Cricetulus griseus: one gene and its partners. The protein of the gene in region 1 purifies or fractionates together with the protein of each later gene. This does not show direct contact. Links are inferred from orthologs where the notes say so. Each region holds a gene or a part of one and is shown in the gene's direction. Other genes may lie near its edges.

Region 1 (4,635 bases):
TAAACAACTGCAATGAAGCCTCTTGTATGTTGCATCAACTGGACTGGACATTGAGTTCTTGCAGGACTGGCCAGATGGGGGAGACTCCTCATTTCGAGGGTCTTTCACTACTTAGAAGAAAACTTATTGAACTAACTCACACCAAGAGACGTTCAGAGGAGTGTGTGTGTGTGTGTGTGTGTGTGTGTGTGTGTGTGAGAGAGAGAGAGAGAGAGAGAGAGAGAGAGAGAGAGAGAGAGAGAGAGGGCGCATGCGCACGCGCTTCCCTAAAGAAGCACACGTATATGGAAGATGCTGTGAACTGATTGGCTGACTAAACTTTGTAATAGTGGTATAGGAAAATGCTGCAAACAAGAGCCAAATATTTGTTCCGCCCCCACATAGTCGCCATTTACTCTTAATCCCTGTATCATCTGAATTAACATCTTTCTGACTGGAATACAACGTTGAAACCTAGCTGGCCAGTAGCTTCCTTTTTTATTCCCCGTACCCAGTGTGGTACTGGGGATTGGATCCAGATGCTCAAGCATGATAGGCAAACACCCTACCACTAGATACCTAGTTCGTTTTCAATTATAAAACCAACGTTATAGCACCGAAACCTAAACAATATGCTCTGTCACAGTCGCCCAGCTACCCGATGGACTACCCCTACCAAAATATTTGATAATACATTGACGTATAATCTTCCCTTTTTGTGGCTATACAAAGTTCATGTAATAATATTTCCTAGAACAACAGACTGAGTAGCCCGAATCCATGCTCGGGATTCAGTTACTCATGGCTGTCTCCACATGAATTCTTCCTCCTTTCCCTTAAGAGCAGAGGCTGTGCTTTGTAGCTATCATATAAGCACCCGAAACATTTACAGTCCTGGCATTGAGACAGTTAATAAACCTCAAAATGCAACATTGTTGCAAGCACAATGCAACAGTTACAGGAGGCGGAAATACTTTCAAAGGTGACGAGGCCCCGCTAATCCACCTAGTTTAACTACAACTTGAGAAAACTCACTCAGCTCTGTAAAAGACCATGTGTGGGTAAAAACGAACGACTAGATTTTGATGTTTAAAACTGTATGCTTGCCATCAAATGAATCGGCAAAACTTACTCTAGATTCTTAAGTCGATTGATTTCCTCTTCTAGCTTCCTAGGCTGTTAGGGTACAAAAGACTTGTTGAGACCCCCAACACGTCCCCTCCCCCATTAAATTTCCTAGCCATTTGTGAGTGAATAAACTGGAGCATTCCAGGGGACCATCCAGTCCACGCCGAGTCTTTGCAGATGTCTTCTTGATAAGGAACAAGCAGTTAAGGACACTTCAATTGGAAACTTAGGGCTTGGCCCAAGGGCTTCTTGGGGTCAGAAGGCTGGATTTCAGGAGAGCTCCTCTTCCTGGTCCCGGATGTCTAGCTCCCTCGCTCAGTGCTCTCTGGTGGCACCCCACAGTGTCAGAGCCAGGTGGTGATAAGGTGCACAAAGAGCATGGGAGGGATCGCGGCCAGAGAGCCGCCCCGCCGCGGGGAAGGGCAAGAGAGGTCTGCAGGCAGAGCGTGCACCGCCCGCCCGCCAGCCTCCGGCGCCGCGCGCGCGCTCGCCGTGGGGGCGTGGCTTCCGTCGGCGCGGCCCCGCCCCCTCGAGCGCCGGGCGTCACGTGGCGGCCGCGCGCGTCCCCGTCCGCTGCGGGCTCCGAAGCGGAGGAGAAGAGGCTGCGAGGTGGCTGCGGCGGCGGCCGAGAGGTGGGCACCGGCGGGACCGGTGGGGAGCGCGTGTGTCCGAGGGCTGCGGGGCCTCGGCGGGTGGCGCTGCGACCGCGCTGGCTGCGGGGCGGCGCCTGGAGTGGCGGCGAGCGGCGGCGGGTCGGGGCCGGTAGGACAGGGACGCCCTTGGCCAGCGCGGCCCGGACGGGCGCGCGGAGGGAGGCGAGCTGGCGCAGCCCGGAGCGTGACGGGCGCGGCCCCGGCCATTACTACGCAGGCCGGGCTGCGGGCAGCGCCGCGGGGCTCGGCCGGGCTGCGGGCAGCCACGGGCTGCATTCTGTCTGCCGTCTGCGGTGCTGCTGCTGCTGCTGCTGCTGTGCTGTGCTGTGCTGTGCTGTGCTGCTAGCCTGCCCAGCGCCCGGAGCCGTCCCTCCTCCTCGCGCTGGCGGAAGCCGCCGAGTGTTCTTGTTTTGATGGCTCCCAAAACCTGAAACCACCCCGAGGTGTCGGAATACGCGTCGGGGCCTCCCTACCCGGGTGCATCCGAAGATCCCCGTTTCGTTTGTCGCTTTGTTCTGGTTGCTGGGTGTGGAGTTCTCTCCCTTGCCCTCCACCCCATCTAGGAGTGCACGGGATCCTCATTGTTCTGGCTGTCTTATTTTCCTGAGCGGTGTTGTTTTTATTATTATTTTTTTCTTCTTCTTTTTTTTTTTTTTTTCTTTTAAGAGAGAAAGGCATGGTTACGTTGTTTTTGAGGATATGGAAATGGAATCGTCCTCTACTTAGGTAAGAGATTCCGGACTGTGAGTTAGCACACGCATTCTGACAGCTATATTTTGTCTTTTCTCCGGGTGCTGTTTAAGCACTTCTCAAGTTTTCAACATTTTGGGGTTTTTGTTTTGTTTTTGTTGTTTGTTTGTTTTTTAACAGTACCGAAATACTTGACAAGAACTTAGGGAAGAAGAAAGTCAAAGGAGATAGAAAAGGCTTTGTTCATTGATTGACATTTCAGGTGCTAGGGTGTGTTCACCCCCTCCCGCCGTGTGTTTGTGTGTGTGTGTGTGTGTGTGTGTGTGTGTCTGCCTTCCTTGTTTTGTAAACGGGATGTGCACCTGGAACTTGGCTATTGAAAGTTGTATATTGTCATCGAATTTGAGCATGTAGAACATTTCAGTAAATGACCTATATTAGACTTTTTAAAGGACATGGCATATTGAAAACAAATGAAGGAAATGACCCATACAAACTAGCAGCAAAGCTCCTGGGTGCTGTGAAAACACATGAAAATAGGTCACTTAAATCTCATTTTTAAAGAGAAAACTCGAGAGTGACTGCCACACTAAAGGAGTTTGGGATGTGTTTGGGTCTTGGATATGATACAGTGGAACACTTGGGTTTATGTCTCAAATGGGCCTATGTAATGTGGGCAGAATGAAAACCCTTGTGCTTAAATGTTTGAAGATTTCTGTTTTGCTGGTGAAGAACTGAGTAGAGTTGTAATCATGGGAAAACATCCCAAATAGCTGGTCATTAGATAAGAGGAATGCAAAAAAAAAAAAAAAAAATTCTTTTGGGAGACTCGTCAAGTGATAAGAGTCACTTTTGCATTGTTTTCTTTTTTGTTTTTAAAGGATTCAAGATAATTCCTTGACCTGAAAAAACATAATAGGAAGAACTTTTTCATATTCATCTGTTTACGACACATTTTCTGTTAGCCATATATGTGCTTGACGGATTTAACCAGTTGTTACTGATTCTTACAAATATTTTCCTGCAAGAATTAGAGGTAGAAGGTACTGAGTCTTTTTTCTGTCCTCTTGCCCAGTTGGGTTCTTGATAACAGAGGGAATTTGTGGAACTGTTGGCCGGATTAGAAACAGTCTTTCTGAGGATAGACACTATGTCTACACTGGTGTACAGCCTCCTTTGCTAATTTGTACTCTCTCATTCACCTTAGTTAATTAATACAAAGCCTGTTGTTAAAGGCCTCTTAATTAAAACATTTAAAATTGTAGAATCACAGAGGAGAGGGTGAAGCAACAAATACGTAGTGATGACTTGACCAAGGTCTCACATCTTAATTAATAAGAGGACTTTGTTATTTACATAATGGTTGCTGGCCATGAAACCTGATTGATGAGATTAAAGTGTCTGTTGACATTCATATTTCCTGAGTTATTGAAGTAAATGCAAAACCCACTTCGAAGGGAAGAAATTTGAAGATTTACACCTAAATATGAAGACTGTGAAGGCAGTCGGTAGTCATAGGATGATATTGTTTACATTTAACTGAAATTGAGTTTTGACAGAACACTTGTTTCCAATTCGACTTAGCCCTTTTTTTGAAAGCTGATGTGATGAAGTACAAAAGTTACATGCCTGTGAATTTGGGAATCTTTTTTAAGAAATTTCAAGATGTGTGTGTTAAATCCCACCTGACCTCTGCTCTCTTTTCCTGTGTTTATAATAGATACACATGTAGGTAAACTTGTATACAGAGGGAGGTTTGAAGTAGTACCCCATCATTGACACCTTTTTTATACAATATATCCTGTTTTGTGTATTTTGAATAAAGAGTAAACTGTTTCTTTAATTCTTTAAATAGGGAAAACAGAAAGTGTTCAAGCATATATAATTTGATATTTATGTTTTTAATTATGTTTTATATATTCTTGTTTTTCTTTTATTTTTTAAAGGTCAATATTTTATTCAAGTCGGTTATCTAGGGACAGTGGACTTTTAAAAAGTGTAAATGACTTGATAAATGGAATTGCTATTAATCCTAAATCTTTACATCAGGAATTAACAGTGTATCCAAGTAATTGCAGTTTGAATTTCTTTAGTAGTTACACTTTTTAAGTAATAAAATGTGGCTTTATTTTTAAAGTTTTTAAAAATTAACTGGGTTAATTGATAAAGATCTAAGTTCATTACT
Region 2 (2,778 bases), on another chromosome or scaffold:
ATTCTCCCATTCTTACTCCAGTAAACCCATCCTTCCCATCCCTATATTTACAGGAACTTGGGAGTGTGGAACTCTTTCTGACCACACTGTTAGGTTATTTGGGGCCAGATAGTTCTGCTAACTTAGAGCAGAAGCCCTGCCTCCTTCTGTCCAGTCCAGTCTCTTCCAGGGTCTCCATTTGCTGTTCTTTCCCACAGGTGGTTTTGCAGTACCTACACTCTACCCAGGCTCCTACACACAATAACTACACCATGACCTTGCTGGATGTTTTTGAAGTAGAGAAGGAAGGGGAGAAGGAGGCCTTCAGAAAGGACCTTCCTAACAGGTCTGAGTCCAGCTCTGGTTGAGTAGACATTTCCTTGCCTGAAGTGTAGTGAAGGAGCTTGGAAGGTGGCGGGGGCAGCTGTTTTGTTTGGGTTTTTTTGTATTTATGACAGATGTTTTAGGAGAACAATGGAGTGGAATAACAGGTCTTTCTTAGGATGCTACTCTGGCATGGTTCCAGACTGAGTAACTGGGTAGGAATCCTGAGCCACGGACTCCGAGTGGCCCCACCTGAGGCTCCCGTCACAGGATATATGGTAAGTAGAAACTGACCTCTAGAAGGAGCCCAGAGGAAAAAAAGATACAATGATGATCTTGGTCCCCCAATCCAGATTAGGTGGTACTAATCTGAAAGAGTTACAACAGCTCACTGATAACCACCTCATCTCTTACTGTGTCCCTCTTCTTTAAATTCTAAAAGATAGGGCAGAGATTTGTGGCTATTTGGTTGTTTCTTAAATTAAATAGGAAAGGGCAGTAGGGGAGGGACCATGTTGTGTTTATGGGAACAGAACCTCATGGTCATTGCTGAGTTTTTGTTGTTGTTTTGAGACAGGGTCTCACTGTGACCTGGGGTGGTTTGGAACTTGCTGTGTAGACCAGGCTGGCCTCACACTCCAAGACCTGCCTGCTTCTGCCTCCTGAATCCAGGGGTAAAAGCCTTGGACCACCATGCCAGAACCTTCTCCTACAATGGATTAAACAGCTGATCTCCATTTTTGTTCATGTATTTCAGTTTGGGAAAGGAATCTACTTTGCTGACATGTCTTCCAAGAGTGCCAATTACTGCTTTGCGTCTCCCCTAAAGAGCACAGGACTGCTTCTTCTATCAGAGGTAAGGCAGGGAACATGGCTATGATCTCTAGTTCACTGAGAAAATTGCACTCTGGATTCAAGAGGTACACCTGGAATGGGATCTCCATTGCATTAGATTCTTTTGCTAAAGTAACAAATAAAATACAAATTGGCATGTTCTGGATGGCTTTGGAATCGCCTGCCTCTGAACTGGGTATAGGCACTCACGGATCTTTTGCTTCACAGGTAGCTCTAGGTCAGTGTAATGAGCTACTGGAGGCCAATCCTAAGGCAGAAGGGTTGCTTCAGGGCAAGCATAGCACCAAGGGGCTGGGAAAGATAGCTCCCAACCCTGACCACTTCATCACCCTGTAAGTACCCAGAGCTGAGGCTGCTGGAAGACTTCTTTCAAATTGTTGAGAATTATTTGTCTAATGGTATGGCTTGGGCATCGTATGAGGCAACTGGCAGTGGGACCAAGATCTAACTATAGTGCATAAACTAACTTTGTGGAGCCCATTCTCTATGGAGAGATACCTTGCTCAGTCTAGACATGGGGGGTGGGGGGATGCATGCCTTGGTCCTGCCTCAACAAGGTGAAGAGACAAACTTAGTTGACATCCTAGGGAAGTGGGATGGGGGAAGGAGGGGAGAGCAGGAGGAGAGGGGGGAGAGGGAACTGGATTGAAATGAAGAAAGAAAGAAAGAAAGAAAGAAAGAAAGAAAGAAAGAAAGAAAGAATTACTTGTCTATTTCAAATTCTGGACCAAATACTAATGTTGACACATTTTCTTCCATTTGGCAGGAATGGGAGTACAGTGCCCTTAGGACCAGCAAGTGACACAGGAATTCTCAATCCAGAGGGGTATACCCTCAACTACAATGAGTTTATTGTCTACAGCCCCAACCAGGTCCATATGCGATACCTTCTAAAGATTCAATTTAATTTTCTGCAGCTGTGGTAAATGTTGATTAAATAAGCAAGAGAGGATTCAATCTTCAAACAAAACCCAGCAATATTACATTTTTGAACTTTTTGGTCATTTGTTTAATAAAATAGTATAAATCTACCTCTGGCTTCTTTGGGTTTTACTTTTCCAAACACATATTCTTTGTGTGTGGTGTGCATGCATGTGTGCACACATGGAGGCCAGAGGAAGGTTGTCAGAGTGTGCTCTAGCACTCTTCATACTGTCCTTTTTGTTTGTTTGGTTGGTTGGTTTTTCAAGACAGGATTTCTCTATATAGCTTTGGCTGTCCTGGACCTCACTCTGTAGACCAGGATAGCCTCCAACCCAGAATCCATCTGCCTCTGGAGTACTGGGATTAAAGGTGGGTACTGCCACAGCCCACCCCAACACTGTCCTCTTGAGACAAGGGCTCTTACTGAGTCTTGAGAAAGGCTGATGGCCAGCAAGCCCCAACAGTTCAGCCCTTTGAACCCAAAATTCTGGGGTTACAGATACATGCAGCCACACTCAACTTGTTTTTTAGATTTTCTTCTAAGTATGTGTATGTGTATGAAGTGTCTGTGTAGTTACGTGCACATGAGTGCAGCTGCCAGCAGAGGGAGCTGGATCCCCTGGGGCTGGAGTTACAGAGCCCTGTGCTGGCTGATCTTAGTAAATCAGCTTAACTACATCTGGAATCAGCTAAAAC
Region 3 (4,589 bases), on another chromosome or scaffold:
TTGCCTTCCAAGCCTGTTAAAGTGAATTGTTTTTTGTCTGTTGTTCTTTTTTGTTGTTGTTGTTGACATTAGTATTTCCCACAATGTCATGCCAGTGGTCCACTTGAAATACTCTCATTTCACTTAAATAATGCACAGATCATCATTTTGTAAGACAACGAACACACACAAGCCACCTACCTTTCATACTATGCCAACAGAATCACAAAATGAACTACTCTTGGAAGGTTGGCTGTCAGTGTTTAAAACATTCACAAACACATCTAGCAATTCTGATGGTTTACAGCACACCATATTATGTTTGTTTGGCTCAGCACCACCACTAGCTTCCTATTTTAGGTGCAGGTGAAGCGGCAACAGTTAAAAGACTACTTCAGTAGTATTTTTGTGGTCTTTCACATGAAGGGACCAGCTTCCCTTTTGGCAGCCATAATGACCTTGTCCCAGACACTAGAAAGTCAGATGCCTGCCTCGTGACAAGGAACCAATCAGAAATTAGCTGGTGGCGCTATGCTTTACGACCCTGGGTGTGCTTTACAGACAAGCGCACAGCAATGACTTGGAGAGCATAGCAACCACCCTGGGAGGGCCTATGGGCCATAACAACCAGTTGACCAATCAACACAGGGCAAGCCCTCCAAGCCTGGAGGCACACCAATCCTGAGTCTGTGCGTACCCCTAGACACTCCCCTTCCGCTGTCCTATAAGATCTCTTGGGAGGCCCTAGGAGCGTCTTTTGCTAGCCATCCGCCATGGCGGGTGGGTGAAAGACCCGAGCTAACATGGGGTTAGCTTGTTAAATTACAATAAAGCCTCGTGCAGTTTGCAGCAAGCTCTGGAATCTGCCTGGTGATTGGGGTGACCGCGAATGTGGCCTAGGACCCCAGATACTTGAGTTTTCGGGGGTCTAACACACGGTACAGGAACCACCTCTACCTTGGCTGTTACTGATGCACACACAACCCTAAGGCCGAATTTCCCTTTATAAAGTTTTTCTTACAGTGTCTCCTTCAATTTCCCGAGAAAAAACGCAAGTGGCCACAGCTGCCACCTCACCTTACACCAGTGCTGGACCAGTCTCAGCAATAGAGTTGTAAGACTGTCCTATTTTATGGCTTTCTTCTACTAAGTGATGAAAATGTCTTTAAACACTAGAAAATAAGGTGAGAAAGGGAAATTGTGTTCTTCCTCAGATTTCTAGGACTCAGGGTCTCCACACACCGAGGTTCCTAATTACAAACATAGGGCATCTCAGAGGAAATGAGCTCCTCCTTCTAGGGGAGGCCCTTTAGGCATTATCTCAGATAGGGTGGGCGAAGGAGGCTCAGACCTCAGGGGACAGACAGCCTTATGGTTTTGGGCAGTGGCAGGAAGAAATCTTTCCTCTGCAGCGGGCAGGGAACCTTTAGCCAAGTGGCTCACTTGAAAGACCTCGAGGTTTTCCCGCGCAACCGCCCTCGGGGCGCGGAAGAACCCGGATGGAACCTCCCCAACACTCCACTGCCTTTGAATCGCTGCATGGGGCGGAGCTCCCCACCCTCTAGCACCCTGATTGGTTGGTATTTAGAGATTCTTCATTCCGATTGGACAATCTCAGTGCCGATCACAAAACGTCACTGGCCTCTCAGACTGTTGCTGAAGTAGTGGGAGTCGGCTTCTAAATAAACCCGCGTCTGGAGCGTCGCTTCTTCGCGGTTCGCATCTGGTTCCCGGTCCCTGGGCCGCGAGACCCTGAGGGACTTTTTCAGGCGGCCTGAGAAAGTCCGGGCGCCCAGGGCATCCCGAGGTCACCCCGCCCGGCGCCATGTCCTGGATGTTCAAGAGGTGAAGGGCTGAGGGGGTGGGGCGTGCGGCCCGGGGCCCCGCGCCGTCTTCAGTGAACCCGCTCCCGGCGGGCGGACGATAGATAGATAGATAGATAAGATAGGTGCGGCTTGGATGCCCTCCCCGGGTCGCTTGCACGTGTGGCTTGCGCAAAGCGTTGTCTCGGCTGACCCGAGAATCTGCTGCCAGCACCTCGGGAGGTCTCCATCACCGGTTGTGGGGGTCCAAAGCTCCACCCGAAGAGCTTTATTCATCAGAACACCTATTGGCTACCCACTGTGCTCTAGGCATTGTTGTCTCGCCATACGCTAGGAATTGTTACCGTGACAGCTCCGAGACAGCCCGACACCCAGTGTCTCACAGTAGTGAGCAGGAGCCTGTGCTTGCAGAGGAGAGCTGAAGCGGGGACTCCCAAAGGATAGCCCCGTGTGCTTTTAGGGGAAAGACAACTTGTAGAAGGCTTCCAGCAAACATCACTTGATCACCTGCAGCGGTTTTTATGCCCACTCCTGTAATAATGATCCTTAAGATTGGTTACCTTTAAAATAACAGGGTGATGGATAGATAGGTAAGGGGGCCTGCAGGTCAGCTTCCTATGATGTCATAGTTTAGATAGCTGTTCTGCAGGAGTTAAAGCTGTGAATGCTTTATGTCGAAGGCTAAAGATATTTTCATAGCCAGACGATGGGGCGCACGACCTTAATCCCACCTCTCAGAAGGCAGAGGCAAGCAGATCTCTTGAGTTCAAGGCCAGCTTGGTCTACAGAGTGAGTTTCTAGGTGAGCCAGGGCTACACAGAAACCCTGTCTCGAAAAAAACAAAAAGAAAAAAAAAAACATATACAATGGTAATTTTGTTTTTATAAATCTCTTCTTCATTAGTTGGCATTGAAGATTTTGACATTTTAATGTAAATAGATTTCCGCAGGAAAGAATTTCCAGTATTTAACAGGTCAGATTTGGTAGCTTTACCTACTCGGCTCTTGCTTTAGCCAGGGTAATTGTTAAGTGGTATTTGCCACATAACATTTCACTTGCTAAAATAAAATGTAAGGAAGTGATTGGCCTGAAAATACTGTTTGACTGTGTTCTTTGAGAAATACTTGGTTAAGTTCTGTTTTTTTTTGTTTGTTTGTTTGTTTGTTTGTTTTTGGTTTTCGAGACAGGGTTTCTCTGTGTAGCTTTGGAGCCTATCCTGGTACTCGAGCTGGAGACCAGGCTGGCCTGGAACTCACAGAGATCCGCCTGTCTCTGTCTCCCAAGTGCTGGGATTAAAGGCGTGTGCCACTAACTCCCCGAAAGTTCTATTGTTTTAATGTATGCTTTGTTTTTGTTTTTGTTTTGTGTTTTTTTTTTTTTTTTTAATAGGGATCCTGTTTGGAAGTATTTGCAGTCTGTCCAATATGGAGCCCATGGAAATTTTCCAAGACTTTCATACCCAACTTTCTTTCCACGTTTTGAGTTCCAAGACGTTATCCCTCCAGATGACTTCCTAACTAGTGATGAAGAGCTGGATCCCATTTTATTTGGAACTTTGAGAGGTCAAGTTGTTGGACTGCGCTATTACACAGGAGTAGTGAGTATAAGAGTAGATACTAAATAAAATTGTTGTATGCATATGGTTTTAACCGTAAATTATATTAAATGGTGACATATTATGTATACATATATACAATTAATGTTTTACTTTGAGTGACTGAAATATGTCACTCAAAGGCTTGTTCTAAATACCTTTACCATCTTTGATTAATTTTGTACATTTGTACCATGCTTACAGTATATAAAGCACTTTTGCCCATACTGACATTTGATTCTTGTAATTACTGAGGTTCTCTTCCTTAATGGAAGGTAGAGATGTAGATGGTTAAATGATTTGTCCCAATGAAGAAAATATATGCTGAATTTAGGAAGCAACTTCGAATCTATCAATTTTTATTAGATAAGTTATTTACTTTTGAGTTCTTTATTTTTGCAATAGAATAGCTCCTGCTCTTTCTTCGATTTATTCCTGTTCTCTAATTGATTGTGTGTGTGTGTGCTCGTGAGAAAAAGAGGACAGATTGAGAGTATATATATATGTGTGTGTATGTATTATATATATATAATTTTGTGCACTGTAATCTTCATTATGGCCATCTTTGTTATTTGGGTAATACTTCTAATATCCAGTTTATCATGAGAAAATTTCAAACATAAAATTAGAGTAAGTCAGAGGTTATCAAGTATTTTCTATATTTGTTTTATTCTTTTTTCTTTATCTTTGTAAAAACAAATACTAAATTTTATATTAGTATAGTTCAGTATATATTTCTTTAAAATTCAGTTTGTGGGCTGAAGAGATGACTCAGCAGTTAAGAACATTTGGCTGCTTTTGCAGAGGACTGGAGTTCTGTTCACTCATGGCTGGCCACTGACTACTCCCTTTACAGTTCCAGAGGTCCTGTGCCCTCTTCTGGCATACATGGGTACTCATACATACCCCCATATAGAATACATAAGTATACATGATTAAAAATAAAATACATCTTAGTTTTTATGTTTCATTTTCATAGCAATCAATAATTGGATTCTGTTGATTATTAAAACTGTATTTTTATCAGGCTCAAAACAGGGTTAATATATTATCTTTGGCTGTTATGGGCTGTAAGGTCCACTCTTGTTTCCTGTTACATATTTGTGTGTCAAAAACAAGGTCTGTTTTTCGGAATCTTGTTGATTTTGTTACTTTTCCCCTTCCCTTGTATCTTTATGATAAAGCTTGTTAAA
Region 4 (4,055 bases), on another chromosome or scaffold:
AAAAGAACTGTGCCTGTTCTCAGAACAGAATCACTGGCCTGTCATAAGACAGTTCAGCCAGTGGTCGGAAACAGATCTCCTTCGTGGGTGCTGCCTCCTCCAGAGAAGAAAGCCTGTCCTATCTTTCCAGGGAGGTCATCTAAGACCACGTGCCACCCACCTTGTTTTCTTCCCAGGGTCGCATGTGGGACTCTATACTGGCCCCTATGAGATGGCGGAGCAGCGGTTCTGTGTGGACTATGCCAAGAGGGGCACAGCTGGTTGCAAGAAATGCAAGGAGAAGATTTTAAAGGGCGTATGCCGCATTGGCAAAGTGGTGCCCAATCCCTTCTCAGAGTCTGCGGGCGATATGAAAGAGTGGTACCATGTTAAGTGCATATTTGAGAAACTGGAGCGGGCTCGGGCTACCACAAAAAAAATTGAAGACCTCACAGAGCTAGAAGGCTGGGAAGAGCTGGAAGATGACGAAAAGGAACAGATCAGCCAGCACATTGCAGGTGGGGTTTAGAACCTGGTTTCTCGGCTTGCTGGTGCTAATAGAATAGGGCACAAGGAGACTAGAGGCTAGGATATTTCTTTCTTTGTGCATTTTGCTTGGACATAAGTTCAAATTCACAGAATAGTTATAAGAATAAAATTAGTACCAAGAACACTCATTCTTGACACAGATTTCCCTCTTGATACTAGTCATTTTACTTTCTCATTTCTGTTTATGTGCTCGCTCTCTACATATCAGGCTTATTTTTTTATTGAGCCACTCAGAGAAAGTTGTGTCATCAGGCCCTGTAGGTACTCCAGTGTGTATCTTAAAAATAGGATCTTCTCTTACATGATCATAGTTTACCTGTTAACCTCAGTAAACTCTCCCTTGATGCAATACTTCCTTATCTGTATACTGTTTTGTCTGTTGACTGAACGCTATAATTTAATAGTACATTTTCCTCCATTTGAGGATGCAGGTTTAGAATCAGATTAGGTACTGCATTTAATTGTCATGTCTCTTTGGCTTCCTTTACTCTGCAGCATTTCCAGAGTGTCTTTTTGGTTTTAGATGTATTCTTGCCATACCATGTAGCTTGGGCTGGCCTCACACTCAAAGCAATCTTCCTGCCTTCTCCCCAGGACTAAGATTACAGCCTTGTGCCACCAAGTCTGGTACTCTCTGTCTTTCTTTTAGATGTTGATATTTTTAAAGAATAAAAGATCACTACCACCATTTTAGCTGTCAACTTGATGTCTTTACCAACTTTTAGATTACTACTTTTCACCAGAGACTTACAGTTCATTATGGTACTGACTTGTTCCATATTTGGCCAGCTAGTAGTCCCGTTAGGGTGGCTTCTATATCCTGCATACTCTAGTCTGTCTGTCTGTCTGTCTGTCCGTCTGTCCGTGTCCCCCCCCCCCCCCCGGCAGTCTTGCTGTGTAGCCCTAGCTGACCTTAAACTCTCAGTCTTTTCTGCATTAGCCTCTCAAGTCCTGAAGTTGTACCCGTCTGCTGGCCATGCCTGGCAAATACTTTTCACTGAATTTTAGCTAGGTGAGGTGGCACAAGCCTGCAGTCCTAGACACTCAGGAGTGAGTTTAAGACCTGCTGGACCATGTTTTATAAGTACTTATGCATTAGGCATAAGAGGATGCTCTTGACTTTCTTCTATGTGTCCTCCCCTAGCTGTGGTGGTAGCCATTCCTCTGAGGGGGTCTGAATTCCCATTAATGGAAAACAGTTTTGGAAAACAAAATCTGGATGCTCTACATCTCGTCATCATATTATATCTTTGTGGCTAAGTCCTTAGAACAGACAACTAGAAAGATACATGCATGCATATACATAAAATCACATACATATATCCACACATACATGCTTACTCCTATATCCATATCTGAGGACTCTTAGAGTCTCTAGAGTAATAGATCTAAAGGCTGTGGCTCTAACGATGGTCCTTTATTCTTATTCTTGGCCTTTGTTAACTGATTCTGTCTCATTCGGGGGAAGGGTAGTCAACGGGAATTATTCTACCTGTGCCAAAAAGGCATGCTCTGGTTTCTTCATTTTTACTTTGTTGTTTCTATGTATTGGGGCTATTTCACAGAGCTAGGCCCAAGTTTTATCTATCAAAATATGATTACTGGGGCTGGAGAGCAGTAAAGAGCAAAGGTGGCTGGCTCTTCCAGAGGACCTGAGTTTAATTCCCAGCATCCCCATGGCAGCTCATGGTTATGTAAATCCAATCCCAATGGATCCAGTGCCTTTTTTTTGCTTCCCTGGGCACCAGACCACACACACATGGTACACACATACATGCATGCAAAGCACCCATTCACATAAAAATAAAAATCTTTAAAAATAAATAAATGATTATTTGGTTTCCCCAAATCTGTACTTTAATCCCAGCACTCAGGCGGTAGAAGCAGATGGATCTCTGTGAGTTCAAGGCTAACCTGGTCTACAGAGTGAGTTCCAGGACAGGCTCTAAAACAATACAGAGAAACCCTGTCTCAAAAAACAAAAAAAAAGGAAGAAGAAATTATTATATATTAAATATGAGGTGGGGAATTTTGATGAAAATTCAAGTTACCAATAGAGGTAAATGATCCCCAAAATACCTTTTTGTTCTCTGTACAATACTCTTTTACCTCCTCCCAACACTCAAAAAGACCAGCCAGCCTGGGGTCATAGTGCAGTAGAAACTTACCAAGCAAGGATTTGAAAACTGTTGATAAAATCGAGAAGCTTCCTCGGCAGTCTTTCTCTGAAGGACATTTTTGTTCTGTGTGGGTCCTATAGACCTGTCCTCTAAGGCAGCTGGGACACCTAAGAAGAAAACCGCTGTCCAGGCTAAGGTGACAACCACTGGCCAGGTGTCATCCCCAGTGAAAGGTGCTTCGTTTGTCACCAGTACCAATCCTCGGAAATTTTCTGGATTTTCAGGTAAGATGGGTTAAGGCTACTTTCGCTCTTAAGGCTCTCCTTTGTTTGTGTCTTCTTTGGGTCTCTGACTAAGTGAAAATACTGTATTACCGAGTGTCAGTAACTGGCTTCTGTCTGGGGCAGTCCAACCCCAGCTGACTACTTGCATAGTATTTCTCTATTGTAGTAGGAACATATTGGTTTTGTCAAGACTTCTACTTGAAGTTATTACCAGGATCAAAAAGATTTTTCTAACCTGCTCTTTGCTTCTTGGTGTTTTGTTGTTTGGTTAGTTGGGTTAGTTAGGTTTGGTTTGGTTTGGTTTTTCGAGACAGGATTTCTTTGTGTAGCCCTGGCTGTCCTGGAACTCACTATGTAGACCAGGCTGGCCTCAAATTCAGAGATCTGCCTGCCTGCTGGGGTTAAAGGTGTGCACCACCCCTACTTAGCTACTACTTGTTTTTCAATGACAGAATTCTGAGAAGTGTCCCCAAACTTGCCTGAACTGGAGATGGAAGTGTGGGAGGACAGGTCATTTTTCCTTCATTTCCCCTGATAGTCATTGTCCCTGTATCCCTGTAGTTTAGATGTATGAGGGAGGAGGCAGAAGGAAGATCTGAATGACAGGTGTCATGTTTTGTTGGGAGACAGTAGAGCCCAGTGATAAAGCAGGTGGACTTGGGAATTAATAGGCTCTGGATTCAGACTCCATCCCCTATCTCTTGTTTATGTCTTGGAAAGATAAACAAACAGTAATTTGTAATCATGCACACACATACGTAAGTTGTTTCTGTTGTATAACAAAACTACTATTCCTGGACTGGAATCAGTAAAACTTTGCTAGAACCTGTGCTTCAATGGGAATTGAGAGGGTCATTTATTGGCTATAGGTAAGAGAAAACATTCATCTACAGGCTTTTGTTCTTCACTTAACCTGAATAAGTGCTTTTCTGTCTTGCTCATTATGCACATTTTATGAATGAACTGAAGTTCAGGCTCACAATTGAGCTATTATTGCTCTGATGTCTGTTTGTCCCAGTAGTGTGTTATTTATCATATATACCCTATATTCTGTTTATTGTTTGAGATAAACAATTCTTATGACTGGCTCAGCTGAAGAAAATAATAAAATGAAACCCTTTGG

What was found.
Region 2: the proteins of Rnf146 (region 1) and Parp2 purify together in Homo sapiens (affinity purification with mass spectrometry; 4 studies listed by BioGRID and IntAct, counting the BioPlex papers as one, with this or other methods). This does not show direct contact. The link is inferred for Cricetulus griseus from reciprocal best matches to the Homo sapiens genes RNF146 and PARP2.
Region 3: the proteins of Rnf146 (region 1) and Hltf purify together in Homo sapiens (affinity purification with mass spectrometry; 4 studies listed by BioGRID and IntAct, with this or other methods). This does not show direct contact. The link is inferred for Cricetulus griseus from reciprocal best matches to the Homo sapiens genes RNF146 and HLTF.
Region 4: the proteins of Rnf146 (region 1) and Lig3 purify together in Homo sapiens (co-immunoprecipitation; 3 studies listed by BioGRID and IntAct, counting the BioPlex papers as one, with this or other methods). This does not show direct contact. The link is inferred for Cricetulus griseus from reciprocal best matches to the Homo sapiens genes RNF146 and LIG3.

The regions. Positions count from the first base shown.
Region 1 is NC_048595.1:247,899,836-247,904,470, reverse strand, and holds the start of Rnf146 (E3 ubiquitin-protein ligase RNF146), read left to right. Parts: upstream 1-1,630; 5' UTR 1,631-1,739; intron 1,740-2,426; exon of another isoform or gene 2,427-2,486; intron 2,487-4,635. UniProt on the Homo sapiens protein: E3 ubiquitin-protein ligase that specifically binds poly-ADP-ribosylated (PARsylated) proteins and mediates their ubiquitination and subsequent degradation. May regulate many important biological processes, such as cell survival and DNA damage response.
Region 2 is NW_023276807.1:206,482,054-206,484,831, forward strand, and holds the end of Parp2 (poly [ADP-ribose] polymerase 2), read left to right. Parts: intron 1-197; coding exon 198-325; intron 326-481; coding exon 482-581; intron 582-1,060; coding exon 1,061-1,159; intron 1,160-1,365; coding exon 1,366-1,490; intron 1,491-1,924; coding exon 1,925-2,084; 3' UTR 2,085-2,189; downstream 2,190-2,778. UniProt on the Homo sapiens protein: Poly-ADP-ribosyltransferase that mediates poly-ADP-ribosylation of proteins and plays a key role in DNA repair.
Region 3 is NW_023276806.1:127,935,902-127,940,490, reverse strand, and holds the start of Hltf (helicase-like transcription factor), read left to right. Parts: upstream 1-1,624; 5' UTR 1,625-1,804; coding exon 1,805-1,824; intron 1,825-3,191; coding exon 3,192-3,399; intron 3,400-4,589. UniProt on the Homo sapiens protein: Has both helicase and E3 ubiquitin ligase activities. Possesses intrinsic ATP-dependent nucleosome-remodeling activity; This activity may be required for transcriptional activation or repression of specific target promoters.
Region 4 is NC_048600.1:96,192,308-96,196,362, forward strand, and holds part of Lig3 (DNA ligase 3), read left to right. Parts: coding exon 1-497; intron 498-2,788; coding exon 2,789-2,932; intron 2,933-4,055. UniProt on the Homo sapiens protein: Isoform 3 functions as a heterodimer with DNA-repair protein XRCC1 in the nucleus and can correct defective DNA strand-break repair and sister chromatid exchange following treatment with ionizing radiation and alkylating agents.